2 linked regions of the Bombyx mori genome follow. The protein of the gene in region 1 purifies or fractionates together with the protein of each later gene. This does not show direct contact. Links are inferred from orthologs where the notes say so. Each region holds a gene or a part of one and is shown on either strand. Other genes may lie near its edges. The genes, in order: RpL7Ae and nucleolar protein 56.

Region 1 (3,001 bases):
ATAGCTATAGAATTATAACACGAACAAGTTTGGTCAATTACTCTTGTTATTTCAAAAATCAGATACATTAAAGTGCTGTTTTTAGTGAATCTCTTGTGATGGATGACTTGTTCAAAATCTTCTGGAAAAAATGGATGATTAGACACCAACTCTCTACTGGTGATAGACTTTTATTTCGTGTTTAAAGTTGGCATTAAAATTGTGATTTCTATTTATTGTATTTGATCTATTCGCTGGTAGCTTCTATGGCTTCGGTGCCCACCTAAAGACAGGTGAGTTCTGAGTCATTTTAGTCATCTCTTCAGTGTCCACTTCAGTTTTGGTGATAACGCGTATTGTGAACCCAAAGAGTATCAGCTTATCAACACTACTGGTAGTAGAGCCTCTTGTGAGTCCGCACGGGTAGGTACAATCACCCTGCCTATTTTTGCTGTGAAGCAGTAATGCGTTTCGGTTTGAAGGGTGGGGCAGCCGTTGTAACTATTCTGAGACCTTAGAACTTATATCTCAAGGTGGGAGGCGCATTTACGTTGTCGATGTCTATGGGCTCCGGTAACCATTTAATACCAGGTGGGCTGTGAGCTCGTCCACCTATATAAGCCTTAAAAAAAAACCCAGTCAAACCCTTAGCAGTAAAAAGTTCGTTAAATACGAACAAACTTTGGCGGGAACGCGAGGAGTGTAGTTGTGTGAGTTGTTTTATTTTGTTAATTTAGTGTTTCTTTAGGTTTCATTGTGTATTAACAGTACTTTATTAGCAGTTTAATATCTGTAAAAGTAGACAACATGTGAGAAAATTAAATAAAGCCGTTGGACGTAGCTTCTCGTGATCTTCCAGAAAGTTCCCTGAAATAGTCTCAGTAAATAACCACTATTTTACTAGGACTAAATTTCATCCGATATAATCTCGTTTCGTTTAATTACTTCCCAATTGATTAATGTCAAATTAATCAACTTCATTTTATTTCGCTCCATATTATTGTTCTTTAAACTAATTTCATTTAAATACAGCATTTACAAAAGATTAGTCTGTAGGATGTGATACCTTCGCCTTTTTAGTGGGAGAAACAGAACTAAGTACTACATTACTGTACCTATACGAAAAGTCATAAAATTGAAATTTGAAAAAAAACTCGTAATTGAACTATTTAGTAAGTCGTTATAAATATTTTGTTTTTTTTTTCAAACGTTGGGTAAATTATTCTGCACCATACATTTAATTTTACATAAAAAATGACTACCCTATACTATTAAAATGTAAAGCTGTATAATTCATGTTGCCTCTGATTATTAAAATGAAAAAAAATATAACCAAAAAAACAAATGTCAAAGAAGCCACAACCCGCGTGTCTTTGAAACAACAGTATCAGAATCGTTAATAATATTTATACACAAAATATTTGTGATTTAAGTGTAGAATTGTGGCAAATACCTAAATTTTCTCTCCCTTACGTGAAGATTATTTCCTCAGTGAAGCGAGAGATCGCCGAGAGGTTGAGTTTTATTAATTCAACACCGCGGCATTGTAAACATGGTAAGTTGCACGTGTTAGCGATCTTCTTGGTATTAATTTACCTATAATAAGTCAGTTTTTTCATTAATCAGTTTCAAATTGAAACTTTCAATCATGTGATATCCAAAATACGGTTGCAATTTGAACTCATGTGAATATTTGAGGTTATCTTGAGATTGATTACATTCTAACTACCTAGAACATCTAAACTGTTCATAACTTTAATAATCTACTTTCACAGGCTGAAACCGAAGCTGCAGTGAACCCCAAGGCATACCCATTGGCGGATGCCGCCTTAACCGCTAAAATCCTGAACTTGGTGCAACAAGCTACCAATTACAAGCAACTTCGTAAAGGCGCGAACGAGGCCACAAAGACCCTTAATCGTGGTCTATCTGAGCTCATCATAATGGCAGCAGATGCCGAACCTCTCGAAATTGTTCTTCACATTCCAATTCTGTGCGAAGATAAGAATGTGCCATATGTGTTTGTTAGGTCTAAGCAAGCACTCGGTCGTGCTTGCGGTGTTTCCAGACCCATCATATCTTGCTCGATAACCATCAATGAGGGCTCACAACTAAAGCCTCAGATCCAAACTATTCAGCAAGAAATCGAAAGACTATTAGTTTAAGTATAAATAGACGTGTAAGGAAATTATTTTGTGTCGAATACAATATTTTAATAAAATAACGTATTTTATTTATTGATGCTTTTAGGAACAAAAAGGACCAGGATCTTTTGCTATTTAAACATAAAAAGTAGAACTTTACAATTATGAACTTTTACAATTGTGGCATCCTCCCTGATAATCTTTTCATCAACAAGTGCTTGTGTCTATTCAAACAGTACAGTGAAATGGTTTTTCAGTTCGATTTGAAGTATAGGACAGCTGAATTACAATGTTATCTACTGAGAATTTCACGTGATATAGGTGATGACAATCACTATGTGGTGTAAATACACTGTTAACTGAACAAATAAGGCACAAGTCGTCTAAAAAGAAGCTACATTTGTTTATAAAAAAATGGAGGTCTGCTTTGTTTCCGCTATATAAGTACAAATATTCTTTAGCAGTAGCAATTTTTTTGTTCACATGCCTTTGTCAATAAGCAAAGATATAGATTTTTCCGCTTTCTATTGAAGTTAAATTCTTAATCGCAAATCGCATAAAGCCTTAAATAAAACCAACAATGAATCCATGATATTTATTTAACCCGCAGATGCTAGGCGCGAGCTCCGTCTACAACTGCTCTACGAGATCTAAACACTGAATATATTATGTATTTTTATATTTCGCAAAAACAAATTTACTGAAAATGTCTTAAACTTAACCTAAAATAATTTCAAACAATCCTAATCAACATTAATTAAATTCGTCACATCACATCATTACATACACGTTGTAAACTACAGGAAAAAAAAGTAAGTTAACAATTACAAAAACGAAAAACAAAAAAGTGATACTTCATTGCAGTATAATTGAACATG
Region 2 (4,467 bases), on another chromosome or scaffold:
TACTGGGCTAAACTTTATTTTGATGTGAATAAAATAATACACCCTTGTTCTTTTATTTATGCTCATATTTCAAATAAAACATTTCAAGAATCTAAAATTAATATTTACTCCCGAGAAACCTTAATGAATCCGTATGATAATTCTAGGGTCGGCAGACTAAAGCACATAAGTCAAAATTTTCAATTTATTTTTTATTACATCATCGGTTTACATTTTGCTCAACACACAATCTGACTAAAGCACATAAATCAAACTCAAGTATTTCATGGCGTATTCAAGCGGCGTTCTGTATCAACCTTATCAAATCCTAATATAGTCAAACGAACTAAAAAACATAACTGGACTTATGTTCTAAGGAACACCATAAGTACAAAGTTATTAACGTAAGAAGTCTGACTTATGTTATAAAGAACATCAAAATGTAACATTTCTTTAGAGAAAGTGGTTACTTAAAAATATTTATAACGTAAACAATACTTCGGTAAGTGGTTTTAATTTACTAATGTTGTCGATTGTGCACAGTTTGTTGGTTAGTTTTGTGTGAGTGCTTAAGTATTTTAATTATTTAAGATGAATATTCAAAGAGGCAAGAAATTAGTTGAAATGGCATCATCCACTCATCTGGAAAGCAATGAAGGTATATTTTCACATATCTTCAAAATTATGATTTGCAAATTACGTAATTATATCAATATTATATCATTATAAATAGATAATTAATTGTCTTGTCCTTTTTTAGAAAATGTAAATCAACAGTCGATTTTGAACACAGAGTTCTAGTAGAACCTAGTAGTAGACGATCCTATACCGTCGACATCATCAGGTCAAGTCAGTAGCTTAACATACTATTCTGTACTTGACTTCTCTAGTGATGATTCTGTACGATATCCATGTTATGAATTACCGAGACTTCCAATCACATCAAGTTCAAGTACTTGTGATGAAATTTCAATGAATCCTAATGTGTCTCCAAAAAAGAGTATACGTACTATAAAAAAAGAAAAAAGAATAAAACGTAACTTAGGACAGGCATACAAAACTTTAAAAGGAAAATGTATATCAGATCGCACTATGAATTAAAAATTTATTTTTGAGAAAAAACAAAAAAAAAAGCCCGCTGAGTTTGTTTCGCCGGTTCTTCTCAGGACTGTGGCTTTTTTTGGAACCGGTGGTAGAGATAACATTGTTATTTATATTTTGACATTCAATAAGTGTGTTATACTGACATCTAAGTTGAAATAAATGATTTTGAATTTGAAAGAGTTACCTGTTTGCAGAATGAAATGTAAAGAACGTATACCATTAACTGATAGGCGTGCCATATTTACAGAATATTGGCAAATGGGGTCATATGCAAAAACATCTGCATACTTGGCGTCTTTAATGGAAATTCAAGATAAATCTAAACAAAGAATACGAGCTATTGAAACTGAAAAGCAAAAGCTTAGAATGAAGACATAAAAATACTTTTTTACTGTGCATGGTAAAGGTGAACCTGTCTGCCGAGGATGTTTAATGAAACCGTTAGATGAAAGTGACAATTTTATAAAGACATTTGCTATGAAAAGGAGATCATCCATTGGGGGATCTCAAACTGATGATATAATATCTATACAGCCATTACCCATATTCATCGAGAAAAAAAATGATTTAATTTCGCTGCTCCCTTTAATACTAGATATTTTCCATGAATTTTACATAAGTCTTCCCACGTTGGAAACTTTACGAAATACTGATCCAGATATTTAGAAGAAGAAGAATAATAGAATAAGAAGAAGAATTTTAATTAAACATTGAGTTGTTATTTATATTTATGACTTATATTATTATAATATATATCTTAATTGTTGATCTTTTTCACTTAACTCATACTATTATTGTGTTCCTTATAACTTAAGTCATCTAATTATTAAATAATCACATTTACTTTAAAATATTTAATTTTAATAATAAGTTAGTGTTATAAACTTATATAATTCAAATAAACATTATTAAGTTTGTTAATGTATAAGATTCTAAATAGTTTTTTTTAATTCCTGTAAAGTAGAGTTTTTTGACTTATGTGCTTTAGTCTGCTGACCCTAGAATTTTAACTTATAGTAGTGGAGGCTTTGTAAGCTTAAATCAAGGTCGATAGCTTGCAGACACATTAACGACTCTTCGGAGTTTAACAACACATTGACGAAACATCAAATATTTCGAAATTCCAAATTAGTACTAAAAGTACAAGACAAGGAGAAGTCGAAAACTAACCTTCAGATACCGCGTTGATATTTTCCAAAGCAACGATCGCCGACTTGTGTGGTTGGAAAGCTATTAAAGTCACAACAGCATTAAAACGTTGCAAATCTGTCACGGACTCTTCGACCTGAGGCAGGAAAGCCGCTAACTCTTCAAATTCAGCAACGCGGAACAACGCAAAGCCCGCGCTGTGTTCGAATAACACATAGAACTTACTCTGCAATGTAAATTGGTTTAAATAACTCACAATAGCGTAACAAAGTCATAACACATCGTTTTAATACGCACCATTTTAGTAGTTTTATATCATAATCATTATCATATTATTTAGGGGAAAAACAAACACGTGCGTTACGTTTGCTCCCCTATTATAATTATTTTGAGGTTAAGTTACAGCTTTGATGCTTGTGTGTGGCTGGAATGTTTTTTTTATTGTTTGGGTTGCATAGACCAAGGGAACATAGATTTAAAATACTTACACTAAAATCTTTTCCAATTTAGCAAATACTATGGCCGACAAGCTATTATTTAAATGGAAGCCGAGGTATTTCACATTTGTATTTAAAAAGCTAAGCGTTTTTATTTCTGACTATAGTATTAAGTAGAATATAATAAATAAGTAGGGCTAATTTTGAGCTACACAGTTTGTTTTAGCCTCGCTTGCTTTGGAAAAGAGAGTTAAAAAAATGTTATACGTTAAAATTTTCAAGTCGTACTATATATAATATAATACTCGTTATGAAAACATTATAACATTTTTCACCATGGTCTCAAAAGTATATTCTTAATTGTTAACTATGTTTATTTATTAATAGTATGGCACATTGTAATCCCTTAGCTACAATCCAACAATTACAGTAACAATCTCTAGTTATTATCATTCTGCCCATTTCGGCTACGAAGCAGCCGTGGGTTTCAGTTTCAAAAAATACTTCAACTTCAACTTCATGACCCAAATGGATGTCGGCATTCATTTTGTTATATTTATAGATTAAGGACAATTTATTCACTTTATCACTTATTATACCAAGAAAGCCTTGAGTAGATTTATCCATCAAACAACCACAACAAAAAAAGCGTTTTTGTTCGTTTTAAAACTGATAGTGGATGAAATTATGACAGCTATTTTTTTCGAATCGTATTTGCATACATAAACTCGGGCAATGCAAGTCTTTTATTGTATTTTATTACTAATTATCCTACAATTACATCATCTACAATTATGATTTAATATTTGTAAATTCAAAATACCTAGTCGTAGGAATGTCTATGATTTTATCATTGACTTTACCCGAAAGCATAAAATTAATTAAATCTTTTAAGCCTTTTAAAAGCGACTGGCCGACGGCGCCACAGCTGCCACTAGTTAGATCTTTAAGGTGCTGTGGAGTTAGGCTATCAAGCCCGCCAGCAGAACCACTCTGAAAAGATGCAAGAGCATTAGCAACATCCTCTATGGTCGCCTCTATGTTCAGAGCTGGGAGGTTCAGAAAAAAATATGTTGTAGGATAAAACAATTAAGAAAACATGTACTCCAGTTCATCATTTGCTTTAATCGCCGTGTTTTGTACAACTCAGTATATTGTTAAAAAAAAATTTTTTTCACAACTTATGGAAGGATACTCGGTTGTCATTTATCCCAGTCATTAAAAAAATTGAGGCAACAACATTCAACGGAAATTTTTGACATTTCAATTTGAAATTTGTGTACAAACTAAGGTTAATCGTATTTAATTTCTAAAAATAAATGTAAAACAGTCTTAACTTATAACAATGTTAAGGAATAAAAAACCCGTTCAATAATCAAGAGTAAAAATTCAAATTATGTAATTGGTGTTATAACAAAATTTTGTAATTATGACAACGATTGCAATGCAAAGAGATCTAGTGTTCGCACTGAAAAAAGAAACCAGTCTCAATATTGGTTTATTAAGCAAGTTACATCCGATGTCTGGAGAGTTACTGAAGCAGATTTTTCGCGATAACGCTTTGGAAAAGCCGACACAGAACGTCTTCAATCATGTTTCTCACTATTTGGTGTCGATTATTGACGTTCAAGCTTCCGCGGCGCTACCCTGGCCTTTGTATGATACAAAAACGGAGAGATTGTACAGGAACGAGCTGGCGAACTTCATCTCCGACTACAGCACCAAGGGTCTTCTTACTCCTGTAATGTCCTCATACTTGGTGAACCCTGGATGTTACAAAGTCACAATGCTGATCTTC

The links.
Region 2: the proteins of RpL7Ae (region 1) and nucleolar protein 56 fractionate together in Homo sapiens (co-fractionation; 3 studies listed by BioGRID, with this or other methods). This does not show direct contact. The link is inferred for Bombyx mori from reciprocal best matches to the Homo sapiens genes SNU13 and NOP56.

The regions. Positions count from the first base shown.
Region 1 is NC_085117.1:6,325,418-6,328,418, forward strand, and holds RpL7Ae (ribosomal protein L7Ae), read left to right. Parts: upstream 1-1,326; 5' UTR 1,327-1,531; coding exon 1,532-1,534; intron 1,535-1,754; coding exon 1,755-2,144; 3' UTR 2,145-2,200; downstream 2,201-3,001.
Region 2 is NC_085132.1:2,385,049-2,389,515, forward strand, and holds the start of nucleolar protein 56, read right to left. Parts: upstream 2,900-4,467; 5' UTR 2,533-2,899; coding exon 2,530-2,532; intron 2,459-2,529; coding exon 2,254-2,458; intron 1,927-2,253; exon of another isoform or gene 571-1,926; intron 482-570; exon of another isoform or gene 140-481; intron 1-139. Other genes in the region: uncharacterized LOC101737518, read left to right, coding at 4,114-4,467. UniProt on the Homo sapiens protein: Involved in the early to middle stages of 60S ribosomal subunit biogenesis. Required for the biogenesis of box C/D snoRNAs such U3, U8 and U14 snoRNAs. Part of the small subunit (SSU) processome, first precursor of the small eukaryotic ribosomal subunit.